3 linked regions of the Daphnia pulex genome follow. The protein of the gene in region 2 interacts with the protein of the main gene of each other region in a pairwise test. Links are inferred from orthologs where the notes say so. Each region holds a gene or a part of one and is shown on either strand. Other genes may lie near its edges. The genes, in order: sorting nexin lst-4-like, dynamin-like and E3 ubiquitin-protein ligase Su(dx)-like.

Region 1 (5,243 bases), on a different chromosome or scaffold from region 2:
GGGCTTGAAGTATCTTCTCCCGGTTACTGGGTTCACAAGATTCAGGTATAACGTGTTTTTTCTTATCAGCTTTGATTTATTTTTATTGTGTATATCTAATCTTTTACTGGTTGGGAATTATTTTAGATCGGCTTTTACAACGTGGCACTGAGTTTCGTGCGACCGGTCGTTGAACGCGTCGCCTGGTACGGTCTCTTTTCCATCCGCACACGGGCTGTTAGGCGCCAGCAGCGACTCAAGATGGCGGAAGTCAAACCCCGAAAAGACGCTTAACGGGACTAATGTTGTTGGAGTCCAGCCGATCCAATAGATTTTCATTCCACACTTCATCGAATCCATCAAAAGGCAGTAGTAGCCTTAAGGCTCTTCACGCTTTCTTCTGCTCATTGTTGTGTAAATGACTATGACTGTATCAATTCTAGGCTCACATAATTGTTCTTCTTTTTCACCGGCTAATCATTAATAAAAATTCATACACAATATTCTGTCAGGTTATGATATTATCGATACAAATTTTATGTATTCCGTACCATTTGAAAAGTAAGGCTGGCTAAGCGCACCATCGATGGAGATGACAAACTTGAATGACAATTGAATAGGAAAATGTAAATGACATAGAAGCTCACTGTTATGGTTCTTGTGCTTCTCAACTTATTAACAGCACATAAACTTTTAAGACTCGCGAGCAATGTGCACGTTAAACCATTTTTCTCATCTACACAACTCTACCGTTTCTCTCTGAATAACGACAACTCTCGTGTAACGAAAACTCGGCAGTGAGCTGCACACAGAAACACAGTCTGACTATGACACTGTTTGCACTTGATAGCCTTCGTTCTTGCCAATTTGGAAGAATGGCTTCGTAAATCGGTTGCCCGCTCATGAAGATAGACAACGTAGCTACGTAGAAGAAAAAGCGAAACAACAAAGTAAGCAAAAAGAATTTTAACATGCGACTATTTTCAAACCATCTGAGGGAATGTTTCCCGTAAGAAAGAAAACAAAAGATAAAATCCGTGGCGGCCAGGATTCCAAAGTAATTAGGAGAAACTTCGTTCATTCGCATGAAGGAATGGAATTAAAAAAAAATAATGCGACTTTTAAAATCCGAGTACTGCGGTTGTTGTTTTTTCTTAGACATCCTTGTACTGGGATAAGGTGGACTGCAGATGATCGACAATCTAAATGAAATACATTTCAAACATCTGGTATTAGTAGAGAAGTTGCAAAAAGAAAAAAAAGGAAAAATAAATAATAACCTTTTGATAGTAAGTGATCTGTTCCTGTAGGAAGATTTTTGCGGCTGCATTAAAATCGTGAACACGTTGTTGATGGAAATAGGACATTTCAGCCAGTAGCGTGTAGGAAACAACATCTGTTCGTTGTTGAGCACGAACTACAACGGTGCTTTCCGTTTTACCCTCAGATGCGGAGCGTTCCAACTCGCGCCGCTTTTGAAGGGCCCCCTATAAATTAAAAATTAGTATTGTTTTAAAAATTGCCGAAATTGCTGGGTTACCTTGTGGACGGTAATGATGTCGGGAAATGAGGCAAGTAGTCCACGATAATCGTGTAGTAAATCTCCCATCGGCTCGAAATCCAATCGTGGTTGGTCCTCACAAAGAAGAGCTATCTGATCATACGTGTCAGCAGTATGGGAAAGTGCTCTGGTCAGAGGAGCTGTCTCTAGCAATTCCATAGCCGTGCCAAGAGTTCTACAGAGACAAACAGTTGGTTAACAACAATACAAGGGCGGAGCACTTCTCTTTGAAACCTACCTGAATGATTGGCCAACACGTTGATAGTCGCGTTTATATGGACCTTGCTGCCGTTTTACTTGTTCGGCAAAGTTGCTTTGCATCATGCGGACAGCTGTATCAAACGACTGCACGAAACGCCCAAAAGCTTCGGTCTGAGAGTCACTATGATCAAGAAAAATGTAAAAGCGATCAAATAAACAGTTGAAAAAAAAAAAAACAACAACAAAAACTTACAGTTGTAGTGGGTCAAGCGACTTTTCTGGTACTTGTACAACACCAAAGATTGCGGCGCCAATTACTTCGTCTTTTTCAGCTTTCCGCTTGCCCGTTTTCCATCGTTTGGCATCTGTGCACGTTAAAAAGTGCAACCAGACATCGGAGCGTGAGAGAATTGGGTGGTCACACACACGGCTAACAAATGATTGCAACTGTAGACGTCTTCGCTCGATAAATTGTTCTTCATACCGACCTATTTTAAGTACACAAGTTCAGCAAATCGACTTCAACCAAAAATTCTACAAATATAAGAAATCACCAGAAATTTGCTTGTCTGGAAGGGGAGGAATGGGAATGATGCAAAATTTTTCCACAAGTCTTTCGTGAAGCCAATCGAAATGTTTGTATCGCCTAGAAACCTGGATATTGTTTAACGACGGTGTCAACTGGTAGGCAATGAAACTTTTTAGGCCTACGATGAAAACATAGAAACAAGTTGACACATTAAATTATATTTAAAAATTAGTCGACTAGGTTGTAAAAATATTACCTTTCAATTTTGATTCTTTCTTTGGTGAAGCCACTACACACGAGTAAGGTTGAGGATTCGGAGCCCATGTGATACCGTTGTTGGTTTCGATGATGTGGATTTGGTCACTATCAGTGGACGTCACTTTGTTTGCCCCCAGAATGTAAGCTTCTCCGCCAGTTTTAACGAAGTGAGAAAACCGGTTCAAATTTTTACGAACGGTTCCTTTACCGTCTCCCAATTTCAACCCTGCCATGTTGACATCAAGCGCACTACCAACGTCGCTATTGCTTCTCCCACCTGCAGCAGGGTTTCCCGGATTGCTACCTTGGTTGGCTTCAGAAACGTCATCATCCCAGTCGTCATCCCAATCATCGTCGTACTGGAAGTAGATTGAAAATACCTTATTAATACAGTTACCAGGAATCTCCACAATGTTTTTGGAATACCTGTGATTGTTGCTGTTGAATCGCTGGAGCTACATTTTCCTCTACGTATATCTGGGGCAATGGAGGAGGAGGCATAGCAGGAGGTGCATTGTAATTTTGTTCAATAGCCTGTTGAATTAATACAATAAAATGGTTTTTTGAGGTTTAAAATAATTCAATTTACATGTTATTAATACAGAAAAATCCAAATGATACAAAATTCTTTTCTGGTTTTACACTAGCATGCATGACATAACAGGAGTAGGAAGAAATTCATACCTCAACGTAGGCTGCAGGAAATATTCCACTAACTCCACGTTGATTACTACCTTCCCACCATCCTTCACCAACATCCTTACTAGTGACAGTTAGAACTTCACCAGTAACAATAGATAGTTCAGATGTGCCAGGCTGGCCTTCAAAATCATAAAGGACGCGCGCCTAGAAAAACGATTCATTTTGTAAATTAAACTGGTTTCGAAACCGGATATGGTTAATGAAATGGTAACAGCAGTTACAGGAGTGAGAAAATTTATAGTTCTAACTAGAAGACGAAACTGATAATTAGAAAAACCGGAATCAAAACTCAAAAGTTACCTGACCAGCCATCTCGAAGAATAAAAACTCAGCTTTTTACAATACCCCTGCTGCTGTGTGCTGTCAAACTGATTTCGTCTCGCCCCCTAATAACAGCTGAGAGGAATGAGTCAGTGATGAGCAGAGCTGAATCTGAAACCAAACGATAAGTTACAAAATCTGAGACCCGAGTGACATTTTAAGGCCCTAATGTTTCTTCTGTCTAGTAAGTAATGCCATCTACTGTAGAAAGATATTAACTGCATTGGTTTGAAAGAAAAACAAAAGAAGTACGATTGTTCGAATTCGTCTGCAACGTGTATTGGTAGTAAAACACGCGACACGCGGTATCAATTATTTTAGAATACTGAAACTTAAATGTATACATTGTGAAACATTTATTTATGAAATGTCGAAAGGCAAATCCCTAAGTGAAAGATTAGCCGAACTTGCCAATCCAACACCTCAGTTTGCTGATCCAGAAGATGAATATAACGAAGGTAACAAATTGAAACAAAATAACACCTACTTGTTTTTCTTAAAGTGTTTCTAATCTTTCTAGAAAGTAAAGCAAGGCTGGAGTCCTTTGATGACCAATATGAGTCGTATGATAACACTCAGGTGGTTAAGAATAAAGCACCAAAAAATAAATCTAATCTACGCCAAAAGAATGTGGAATTATTAGCTGTTTCAGATAGCCGATATGCTGGGAAGCGTGTCAGTCGCAAAGATCTAAATTCTCCTGTAGGAGAAGGCTACAAAAGTTCTGAGTCATCTTTAGAATCTGATAATGAAAGTGGGGAAGAAAATATTCTGGAATTTAAGAACAAATTCATGAAAGAAACAAACAACAAATCAGAGAAACCCAACATCTTCCAGGAATCAGAAGACGAAAGTGGTTCATTGAAATCTGATATTCATGAAGAAGATAGTAATGAAAGTGAATTGAATAAATCTGAAGATGACGAAGAAGCTGATTTTGAAGAAGGAGAGGGTGAAGAGGAGGGTGAAGAGGAGGGTGAAGAGGAGGGTGAAGAGGAGGGAGAAGAGGAGGAAGAAGAGGAAGGAGACATTGGAAGTGTAGATGACAGTGAAGGAGAAGAAAATGAAAAAGTTAAAAAAATGTCAAAAAATTCTCATGATAATGATATAAACAAGGGAAAATCTATCCAAAATCAACTCTCATTATGGGATCATCTTCTTGAGTGTCGTATAAAGATGCATAAAGGAATAAATTTATGTAATCAGTTACCTCAAGCTCCTTCAAATTACAAGCTTTTTACTAAAGCAAGTGGAGAAAACCATTTTGTTGCAGCAGGTCAAGGTGCTCAGGCAGCTATTAAATCATTATTGGACAACTGCCTTGAGCTAGAGGTAATTCCTGTTTTATTGTATTTTAAATTACTTAAAATAATAAAAAAATTAAAAATTCAGGAGCTTCTTCTTAAATCTAATCCACAAACAAAAGCATTAACGCAACGAAAGTCTAACGAAGAGGGCAGGTATTAAATGTTAATTTTTCAGTTTAAAAGGCATTAATTAAAATTTAAAAGTGTTTCCTTGTCAAATAGTGATGAAGAAATTCCAAGTGACACTGACGAAGAAGCTGGAGAAGACGACGAGGACATTGATGATGGAGGACCAAAGCGCAAAAAACAAAAAATAGTCGGATATGAATCCGAGATTGGAGAAAGACACGAAAAATTGCGCGGTTTTTGGCATCGTACACTGAAC
Region 2 (5,243 bases):
CGTCAAGTAAATAATCAAAAAGTAGAAAATTCACTGCTATTGCAGAAATGTGTCAGCAAGCAGCCATTAGAACGTGTGTAGAGCGACATTGCCAGTTTTGAAAAATTCATTTCGTAATTTTGACTGCTTTTACAATTTCGTCTGCTCTTCTTCGAATACAATCCCGCCGTTTATGAGATTCCGGCACGTGGAACTCGAATACAGCAAAAATGGCTAGCTTACCACAGAAAAAATATTATCGACAAAGAGCACACTCCAATCCTATCGCAGATCACTGTTTTGACTAGTGAGTATCTTATTTCCAGTTTTCGATTTATCATTAAGTCATTTTCTAACCCAATTTGTCGTTTGAAGTCCTGTCTCTCCCAATGACATGAAATGGGATGAGCTCTATCCTACATTCAGCAAAGATGGAATAATGAAACACAAAGTTCAGTTTGCTGATATTGGATGTGGCTATGGCGGTTTATTGAGTATTTTTATCACATTTTGCCAATAAAATATGTGGAAAATTAATTTTGTATTTTTTTTTAACAGTATCATTATCCACCATGTTCCCAGAGACTTTAATGTTAGGAATGGAGATTCGTTTGAAAGTTTCAGAATATGTCCAGGATCGCATAAAGGCGTTGAGGATTTTGCATCCAGGTGATTACGGAAATGTTGCCTGCTTAAGAAGCAATGCCATGAAGTACTTACATTTATTTTGTTCATTTACTTGGGCATGTTTGCTTAATTTATTCTATGCTACTAGGTACCTCCCTTGCTTTTTCGATAAAGGACAATTGACAAAAATGTTTTTCCTCTTCCCTGATCCTCATTTTAAGAAGGCCAAACACAAGTGGCGTATTATCAATGACACTCTCTTGGCTGAATATGCCTATGTTTTGGCTGAAGGGGTAAGTAGGCAGGCCTAGAACGGCCCTTCTTTAGCTACTTGATGTAGATATCTTGTGTGATTAATTAAATTTTACTTTAGGGTTTGGTTTACACAATTACTGATGTTAAAGATCTTCATGAATGGATGGTTATGCATCTAGACCAACATCCATTATTTAAGAGACTAACCCAGGAAGAGCTGGTTAGTTATACTTTATAATTAAATAGCTATAAAACTACAAATTCTTTTTGCGGTATCAGGATCAAGACATTGTAGTTCCAAAACTGTACGAATCAACGGAGGAGGGCAAAAAAGTCACGCGAAATAGTGGTGATAAATTTCTTGCTGTATTCAGAAGAATTCCTGATCCATTCGTACTTGAAGAAAACAAGTGCTAATGTATACAAATTTGTTTGCCGGTTCCCTGCTCGTCACTTGTATTGCTCCCAATGGAACTGTTTGCTGGAATTCACATAATCAACCAGCTTTAAGCTGCCATTCAAAATAGGTGACCCACGTTTTATGTATGCATCGCCCATGCGCAGAACAGACAAATTTTCCAAGATCAATAGTTGTTGACAAAGAACTCATAAGGTATGTACGGTATTTTGTAACTGAAAAGGGAGCGCGCGCAAACGTGTCAAATGACGAATGGGCACTTTGAATTAAAGTTTCATGGAAATAAATTTAACATTCTCTTTTTTGGCAATCCATTTGTAGATCTGTTTGACTGAAGGGTCTTTTATGAATGATTTCCTGATTTGTAATGTTTCTAGTTTTCAAAGGGATTAACTTGTATCTTTTTGTGGAGCTTGAGTTCTTATTGATTCATTTGCTCATACGATCGATACGTTCAATAATCTGCTTCATAGAGAAAAAAAAAATCGTGTTAAGTTTCCGTCGTCTACGTATCGACCATGTGTCAGCTGACGATTTCATGGGAAGCAAAGGAACGTGGAAAAAAAACGTCACCATCCATCCTTTCAACTTATTGTTATTCGTGTTGAATACCATTTTGTAAAAATCTTAATCGAATTAGGCGCGTAGGAATTCTGCGACGCTGTGAAAATGGGATGGGTTGAAACTCGGGGAGCGTGGCATAAATGTAATTTCACTAAGCCGACTAAGTGACTAAGACGAGATTGCATCACTGATAGTGATGTTTATTGTTATAGGATGTGAAATCCTAGCAGGCGGTAGATGAAAGAATATATAAGGAAATAATATTCCGATGAAAATTTATGGTGCGCATCAGCGTGACCCATTTGTGCTGCGTAATATGATTTCCTGCAGTTTTATTTTGTTTGAAATATTTAAACACTTGACGGATGGGAAACACTTGAATATGTTCGGCTCCGGTCCGACGGCTTTTCGTCTTATAGAAATTTCTTCGATCCCCGAGTCAATATTGGGACACTTTCCGATGCGGTTGTGCAATCGGCCGCTGTGTGGCGTATCTCACAGTCTATGCAGCCATGTTGAGTTGGCCTGGCCATATTCGAGCCAGTTCGTGCTATGAGAGACGGTGCTGGTGCGCTCTCTCCAACCGCTGTCATTCTCTACCCAACGTCAAACACGGTTCCACCGACAGTATTGTGGCTGAAAAAAGATTAACCAACTCCCTGAAAGTCTTCTTGTGTTTTTTTGTGAATTTCGTTTCATTGTGCAATCCTCTCTGTGGTCCGCCATAGTGGGGAAGTTCCCGACTGGTCCGAGTTCTTTTTGTAACGTTAGGCTCGACCGTCGAAAACACCATCGAAAATGGCAGGCAATCAGGGAATGGAATCCCTTATTCCTCTCGTGAATAAATTGCAAGATGCCTTCACTTCGTTGGGGGTGCAAATGTCTCTTGACCTACCCCAAATTGCTGTTGTGGGTGGGCAAAGTGCAGGAAAAAGCTCTGTGCTGGAAAATTTTGTTGGCAGGTGGGATTAATTTCGAGAAACCTCCCCTTTGTTTTCTCATAACTCATTGTTTTTTCACTTGTGCAGGGATTTCCTACCTCGTGGCTCTGGCATTGTCACTCGACGTCCCCTTATCTTGCAGCTGATCAACTCTCCTCAGGGTAAGTAACTTGGCAAATGCAATACATGTTATATCTGTGAGTAATAATCAATATGTTTGAACTTTCAGAATATGGAGAGTTTTTGCACTGCAAAGGAAAGATCTTTGCTGACTTTGATGAGATTCGTAAGGAAATTGAGGCAGACACTGACCGATTAACTGGTACCAACAAAGGAATATCCAACTTGCCCATCAATTTGAGAGTATACTCTCCTCACGGTAAACCAATTTTACTTCACAAGTCCAACTTTACTTACAGAAAAGTTTAGAGTTTGATAATGGTTATTTATTTAAGAATTTAAAATGTCACACAATTGAACTAGACTTTGGGAGGGTTTAACGGCGTTATTAAAACACCATTACAAGTAATGGTGGTGGCCAAAACATGTCGCCAAGTTCTTTCCCTTGTCTAAATCTTCCGACCCATCACTACTCACACTGGAGTATACGTCCACATATAGAAAAGTGTGCAGTCCCGAGCATTGCTCGGGATGAACGGATCAATACCTCCTGCCCGCTGCGAGAGATTGGCACTATACAAAAAAGAGGAAAAATAAGGAACCCCCCTCGTTGGTCGACCACATTTCCATGATTCTTGCATCATCGATCATTCTCTCTTATGTAGCCAAAGAACCGCCTCATCACCCCCCGTCCGACTAGGCTCCCCACGACGACTTGATCGACAGACTAAATAGTTGAGAGAGTAATTAGATTGGGTACCACCTAGAGGGGAAGCCTCCCGTCGACTCAACACACTCGTATGAATGAATCCAGCCATTGCTCTGCCTATACGACAACCGGAGTAGCATTTGAAATAGCCATTAAAAATGTTAAACTTTAGTATTGTGGACTGGGGTTTATTTTTCCGGGAAAAAACCCAAATTCTGTATGTCTTCCGTCTCGAGGGTATACGCGGTTTTGTATGTATCGTGTATGTGCGCGCAAAAGAGGGGCCCTCTCAACTGTGGGAGGATCGAGGCTGGTCTGATCGATACGGCCGTTTGCCGTCTCCTAGGAAGAGAATGAGCAGGAAAAAAGGGAGAAATAACGTAAGAGTTTTTCTTTTCTCGTGCAGCACCACTCACAACAACAACAAAAAAAGAAGAAGAAAGATTACTCTTATTCAGATGCTGCTACACTCGCCCATCACACCGTAGTTTCGTTGTGGATTGGTCGCCATGTTGTGTCGATGCCTCTACAAGAAAAACTTTTCTCTTTTTTTTTCCCAAGGAATTCGCATAAGTTTTTCCCTTTTTTTTTGGCGCCATTGACAATCAATAGGAAAAGAAGCTGAGTCTTCTGGTCGATATTAACCTCAAGAGAGCAAAAGGGAACAGATGGGATGAAAGAAGGAAAAACAAATTGAGGATAAGACTCACACAAAAGTTTTTGCTCTTTTTCTCAATTCTTACCGAAAGATGTCTTATCTAGGCCGGTTATAGTGGAACGAATATTTGATCTGGTAAACTGACCTCTTGAGGCACGCACCGAGTCCGAGCGCTTCCCCCCCGCAATATAATGTAATAAAAGAATGCCATTGACCGGAATCTTCTTACGAGCCATTCGTGTTTTTTTTTTTTCGGAGGGCTTTTTCAATAATAAAATAACTCCCACAAACTCACGACTGTTGCGTGTGTGTGTATGTAGTGCTGAACATCACCCTGATCGACTTGCCCGGTCTGACCAAGATCGCTGTTGGCGATCAGCCTTTGGACATCGAGGCTCAAATCCGAGACATGATTTTTCAATTCATCACCAAGGAGACTTGCCTTATCCTGGCAGTCACTCCTGCCAACATTGATTTGGCTAATTCGGATGCCTTGAAATTGGCCAAGGAAGTGGATCCCGATGGTATTTCACATTGCGAAATTATCAGCACGAATACTTGGCAGCTTCTGTATTTATGAATGGGCCCCCCTCGTGTAAATAGGCTTGGCGTGTGTGGGTTCTTTTTTTAGTTAGTTATGTAATGAATGATGATCGCATGTCAAGAGTTTCTTTTTTATTATTTTTATTTTATTTTTTTACCGCTTTTTGTTTTCGTGTTGTAGTTCTTAATTTGACCCTGATTGATTTGCCTGGCTTGACGAAAATTGCCGTCGGTGACCAACCTATCGACATTGAGATGCAAATACGTAGCATGATCCTCACCTATATCACAAAATCTAGTTGCCTCATCCTGGCTGTTACCCCTGCCAACATTGATTTGGCCAATTCGGATGCTTTGAAACTGGCCAAAGAAGTAGATCCTGCAGGTATAATAAAAATAATAAATTGTAGTTTCTGCTCCTCTACCCTT
Region 3 (5,243 bases), on a different chromosome or scaffold from region 2:
TGTAGTTATTCTTGTTGGCGTATTCAAAGAGGCAGTACATGGGATTTAGCACTTCGTGTGACAGCAAGAGAAACCATTCCCTGTCAAAACAAAAAAAAAATGAATAGAAAAATCAGTTTCCTCTTCAGTGTCCAATTAGCGCACACTTCAAGGGACGCAAAGGGGGTATTTAATTAATAATAATTTTACCTAGCCACTCCTCCGTAATCAAGGCCCTCCTCGCCGCGGAAAATGACGTACAGCCGCCTGCGGAGCTCGTAGGCGGGCAAGCGCATAATCTGATGGTGCGAATCTTCAAAGAGCGTCGACCGGTTGAGAGTGATCTTGATGTGTGATGGTAAGGCATTACTCTGACACAGATAGCGGAATTGAGATAGCTTCCAGCGGAATGAGCGCTCGTAAGCGATGGGAACGCCATAGGCACCTTTCGGACTGCGTCCAGCGCAATGAGGAAAAAAAAAACACAAGCAATTAACACACACAAAGCAATAAAAGCACTTTCAAGTAGCGGGCGAGCTGGATAGAACACGTTGTGGCAGTAATGATGGACAACATAATCATACCCTTTAGTTGCGCCTGGTCTAGGATCTTGGAAGGTGGTCGTCCGGGTATTGTGATCCACAAAATAATGAACACCATCGTCCGTGATTCGCATTTCCCAGCCGGGAGGCAAAGGATCTTCTTGGTTCATCCTGAAATGAATCAGAGAAAGAAAGAAATGAGATATAGATTGATTGAGGGATTTCGATGAATTGACAAGTGAGAGACACACCCCTGGGTTCTCGGATCCTCCCACTGTGTGGTGCGATTCTTGTGGTTGACAAAGTAGACCCTGCCATTAGGCTCGACACGTTTCTCCCAGCCTTCTGGCAAAGGTCCAAGCGGATCGCTCTCTTCCGTACCCGTCACCACCGCCGTTCCGGTGCTGACTCCTCCACCCTAGTTAGGAAAAAAACAACAACAACATCAATGCAAGTGACGTCACGATTAGCTCAATGATCAATGAATCAACTACCTGTGGAAATAGGAATCTCTGGCTGCACTGTTGAACAACATGCGCTCGCTGGCCTTGCCACTGTTCGTAATGTTGCAGACGTTCAACATTCGGTCTTTGCCATGTCGTCCTGGTTAATTTACAAATACGAATTAATTTAATTGAAAAAGTTGAAACCATTAAATAAACTTACGATCGAGTGTTGTGATCCACGTAGTAGGCTCGACCACGAGGGTCTCTTCTCATCTCCCATCCGGCCGGAAGAGGCTGCGGGCGCTCCCACGTCGTACTCCGCGTGTTATGATCGACGTAGTAGCGCCGGTTGTATTTATCGAAACGGACTTCCCATCTAATGAAGACAAAATAACGTCAGTTACATTTCAAATGGATGTGATACAACAACAGCATCAACTCACCCTGGCGGAAGAGGTTCTTCGGGGCCAGGTGGAGCAGCCGGAGGTGCTGTCGTGGCTGGGGTAGTTTCAGTCCTCGGAGCCGGTGCTGCCACTGTCCCGTTGGGAGTCCTGGACGGCGTCTGCTGCGGTGTTCCGTTGGGTGTCCTGGATGGAACACCAGTTACTACTGCTGGAATGGGGGCGGCTTCAACATCATTCGATCGGGTACGAGGACGAGCTCCGCCACCATTTTCGCCCGTGGTCAAATTCGTGACAGGAGCTACTGCTGCACCGTTCGTCCGGATCTCAGCGGTTGAGCTGGATTCACCTGTTTCTCCGTTCACTCTGATGATTAAAAAAATGGGAGCACACAGATTTATAATGATGAATCGCTCGCTTCCATTTGAACGCTGCACATTATTACCTCGTTGCGCTTCGACTACTGCCTGTCAACAATTTTGGATCTACCCTCATTCCGTCCATCACAATAAAAATTTCTCCAATCTTCACTTTAGAGCTGCGACCGTTAGCTGCTTCTGTCGTTGATGCAATGCTAGTATTCTTTATTTCTCCCTATTGATGCCAGAAATATTGAATAATTTTGTTTGTTTTGTGTTTTTCTAGTAATCAAGTATGAGGCTTACCTTAACATCCAGAACAAGACTGGTTTTATCAAATTTCCCTTGTTCTCGTACTAGTTGTTTTTGGATATCTATTCTGCCTTCTCCTAGAACCAAATCTCGCTTGAAAGTTGAATGACTGTAGAGCCTCAGTAGACATTTTGAATTGATTTTCACAAGACTAGAAAAATAAATAAGATAAGACACTTGCAAATGTGCTGAATCATAGCAACTGTACATACACAGTAAAGGATTCACAAGACCAAGTGGGATCATGTGTGTTCTTCACAGCCTCAGTTTTCCAAACCACTTTCCCATCAACCAAGATTTCAACATATGGTGAAGGCTTTTTTGTTATGCAAACTGGGTCAACAGTGGCCTTTAGAACTATATTGCATAAATCAGATTAGAACTTTTCCAATGTAAAGATTAAATATCAATTGCATTGAACCTGAGAGATTTAGTTGATGAAAGTGGGAGTCATTGTTGTTCCTAGAGCTTGCGCTATTGGAACTGGTTACAACAGCTGCAACAGTTTCAGCCATTTCATGGAGGTCAGACCTTGGACGTTGCTGTAGTTCAGAACTACACCAGATACTAAACTGATCTGGTGTTTTCAATACTATCAAAGCCCATAATCAGAACAGGAACCTGTAAAAAATTTAAGAGATAAGATGAGTACTGATTTTTGACGTCATCACTGATAAAGATTTTGCTATGCAAACCACTAACCTGCATCCACACTGCTACATGGAACATGAATGATGTTTCGGTGTTGAAATTAATTTATAATCTTTATAACAACCAGGCTTTAGGACTTTAGAAAAATGTCACTGTGAAGTGAAAACAGCAAAAAAATACACCTACAGGGCTCAGTTGAGTATTAGCGCGAAAGTAAAATTATCTCTTTAAAATGTCAATAAACCGAAATACAAGCAGGCAGTATAAAGATTAGAAACTCTGGTGGTATTTCCCGTTGAACGAGATAAAATTATAGCTGCAATTATAGCAAACACACAAAACACAAGTACAAGACTACAAGTCTTTGCAATAAGTCACCATTTTTTCTTGGCTTAAAACACTGTTGCCAATTTCTTCTCTTAGTGTTTTCTTCAAAGTTGTAAATATTGCCAACAGATGGATTGTATTTTTGTCTGCTAGAAAGAAAAAAAAAATAACAACAGTGCAAAATTTGCCAAAAGTCTACGATGGTCTTTGAATGTCAAAAATCACCGTACAAGAAAGAGGTTCAATAAATTTTCCTTTTTGGTATTTGTATTTTCTTATCCTATTAATGATCAGTATGGTGTTTCGTAGTTTACGAGCAAAGTCGTCTCTTGTTCGCCGTGTCAGATCGAGAGGCTCGTCCAGGGGAAAAAGGAGAAAGTACAAGCATTTGAAGTCTTATTGGAAGATACCGTTTTTTTTCCTGAAGGTGGAGGCCAGGTAATTTTTACGTTAAATTACACATCCTCATATAGAATTGGTTTTAAAAATTCAAATGTCAAAAGCCTGATGACAGAGGCTTCTTGAACGGAATCCCTGTCTTTCAAGTCAAAAGAAGAGGGAAGGATGCCATCCATTTTTTACAAGACAGCCTGGATGTTGGGACTCTAGCTACAGGTGTCATTGATTGGGAGAGAAGGTGGGATCATATGCAGCAACACTCTGGGCAGCATCTAATCACTGCAATTGCTGATGCTTCATTTGGTTTCAAAACAACATCTTGGTGGCTTGGGGAATCTGTTTCCCATATTGAATTAGGTAAATTTTTCCTTCTTAACTTTGTGTTCAGAATTTTCTGTAGCATCATTGATTGACACTTAATATTAAATTACAAGATACTGTAAATCTGACTGATGCCCAACTAAAAACCATTGAAAGCCAAGTGAATGAGAAAATCAGGGAAGCTGTCTCTGTGGAAGTAAAAGTATACGAAGGAGATGCGATACCCGACCAAGTAAGAATTTTACTTTAATTGACATTAAAGTTAAATTAAAGAAAACCATATTGGGTTCGTAGGTCCGTTCTAGAGGTCTTCCCGATGACCACGTTGGTCCTGTTCGCGTCGTAACTATTTTAGGTGTAGACAGCAACATGTGTTGTGGAACTCACGTTTCCAACCTTAGTCATTTACAGGTATTGTACGCAGTTTACTACCCCCAATAGTACAAGCAATAATTAACCATCGATTAAAATACTTCATTTAGTTCATAAAGCTGCTTTATGCTGAAAAGGGTAAAAAAAATAAGACCAACCTCTTCTTTATAAGTGGAAATCGAGTGCTAGATTACATCAATCGTTCACTTGACAGGGAGCGCCAGTTGACTAAAATTCTGAAGTATGAAATGCTTAAAATAATTGTTGAAATGACAAGTGATTAACTCATTTGCTCGTTTCAGAAACGGACCTGAAGATCATGTCGATTTAGCTAATAAATTACAAGCCTCAGTAAAGTTATCACAAAAGGTAAAACAACTTTTGAACTTCTCCGTATCCTAATCGACTGTAGATTAATTTAAAAATTTTCTTTTCTTTTAAGACTTTGCAAACTTTGATGAAAGAATTAGCTGTCAATCAGGCAGAGAAAATTAAAACCGAGAAACCGAAATTTTCGATTGTTCACCGCAAAGACGGCGATGCCGATTATGCAAGTGCTCTAATTTCAGAACTGGCTTCTGAGGTATCTAGATTATTAGTTTTTAATTGTCCTTATTTAACATTAAAATTTTCTTTTTAATATTCTCTCTTTAGGACATCACATTACTTATTACTGTGGGAGAAGATAACAACGGGCAAATGACTCTTATTGGTCAAGAGGATGTGGTCAGCTCTCTTGGTCCAAAGTACGTTCCATTGCGACAGAGATCTCCTTATCGGAACAAACTTTTTAAAACTAACTCGCAAATATTTGGTTTTAGAATTTGCAGTTGTTTAGCCGGAAAAGGCGCCGGCAAGGGTAAAAGATTTCAAGCCAAGGTTACGCAACTCAATCCATCAGCACGGCAAGAGGCGGAAACGATCCTTCGTGATTACTTCCAGTGAGAAACAAGACATCGGTGCAATTAACTCAATTTTGTACTTGAACCTTTCAAAGCCTGGCAATAAGAGTGATGTGAATACAGACGAAACGAGTTAATACCAATAATGTAATTTAACTAATCCGGATTTGTCGACTGGTAGCTCTAGCGAGCTCATTCGGTGGACTAGAAGCTTGCGCATTGATTTTCGATT

What was found.
Region 1: the proteins of dynamin-like (region 2) and sorting nexin lst-4-like interact in a two-hybrid assay, tested with the Caenorhabditis elegans proteins (2 studies listed by BioGRID). The link is inferred for Daphnia pulex from reciprocal best matches to the Caenorhabditis elegans genes dyn-1 and lst-4.
Region 3: the proteins of dynamin-like (region 2) and E3 ubiquitin-protein ligase Su(dx)-like interact in binary tests that used the Caenorhabditis elegans proteins (3 or more experiments, as listed by UniProt). The link is inferred for Daphnia pulex from reciprocal best matches to the Caenorhabditis elegans genes dyn-1 and wwp-1.

What each region holds. Positions count from the first base shown.
Region 1 is NC_060028.1:5,995,150-6,000,392, forward strand, and holds sorting nexin lst-4-like, read right to left. Parts: upstream 3,730-5,243; 5' UTR 3,543-3,729; coding exon 3,531-3,542; intron 3,375-3,530; coding exon 3,213-3,374; intron 3,063-3,212; coding exon 2,955-3,062; intron 2,888-2,954; coding exon 2,527-2,887; intron 2,449-2,526; coding exon 2,296-2,448; intron 2,230-2,295; coding exon 1,995-2,229; intron 1,923-1,994; coding exon 1,779-1,922; intron 1,716-1,778; coding exon 1,520-1,715; intron 1,467-1,519; coding exon 1,260-1,466; intron 1,182-1,259; coding exon 1,134-1,181; 3' UTR 501-1,133; downstream 1-500. Other genes in the region: very-long-chain 3-oxoacyl-CoA reductase-B-like, read left to right, coding at 1-45, 127-273; protein AATF-like, read left to right, coding at 3,919-4,009, 4,072-4,883, 4,944-5,011, 5,081-5,243. UniProt on the Caenorhabditis elegans protein: Involved in the signaling of vulval development by acting as a negative regulator of epidermal growth factor receptor (EGFR) signaling. Aids in phagosomal membrane tubule formation which is required for phagosomal fusion with endosomes and lysosomes.
Region 2 is NC_060023.1:11,179,385-11,184,627, forward strand, and holds the start of dynamin-like, read left to right. Parts: upstream 1-2,345; 5' UTR 2,346-2,641; coding exon 2,642-2,805; intron 2,806-2,871; coding exon 2,872-2,945; intron 2,946-3,013; coding exon 3,014-3,163; intron 3,164-4,591; coding exon 4,592-4,795; intron 4,796-4,995; coding exon of another isoform or gene 4,996-5,199; intron 5,200-5,243. Other genes in the region: tRNA (guanine-N(7)-)-methyltransferase-like, read left to right, coding at 210-286, 355-473, 538-691, 755-899, 980-1,081, 1,141-1,278.
Region 3 is NC_060026.1:2,733,207-2,738,449, reverse strand, and holds the start of E3 ubiquitin-protein ligase Su(dx)-like, read right to left. Parts: upstream 3,094-5,243; 5' UTR 2,742-3,093; intron 2,661-2,741; 5' UTR 2,555-2,660; coding exon 2,461-2,554; intron 2,397-2,460; coding exon 2,252-2,396; intron 2,191-2,251; coding exon 2,034-2,190; intron 1,963-2,033; coding exon 1,814-1,962; intron 1,735-1,813; coding exon 1,411-1,734; intron 1,344-1,410; coding exon 1,188-1,343; intron 1,125-1,187; coding exon 1,016-1,124; intron 940-1,015; coding exon 773-939; intron 693-772; coding exon 564-692; intron 433-563; coding exon 190-432; intron 81-189; coding exon 1-80. Other genes in the region: alanyl-tRNA editing protein Aarsd1-B-like, read left to right, coding at 3,218-3,256, 3,327-3,455, 3,521-3,773, 3,851-3,969, 4,032-4,148, 4,220-4,350, 4,412-4,478, 4,552-4,692 and 2 more; carcinine transporter-like, read right to left, coding at 5,145-5,243. UniProt on the Caenorhabditis elegans protein: E3 ubiquitin-protein ligase which accepts ubiquitin from an E2 ubiquitin-conjugating enzyme in the form of a thioester and then directly transfers the ubiquitin to targeted substrates. Ubiquitinates klf-1.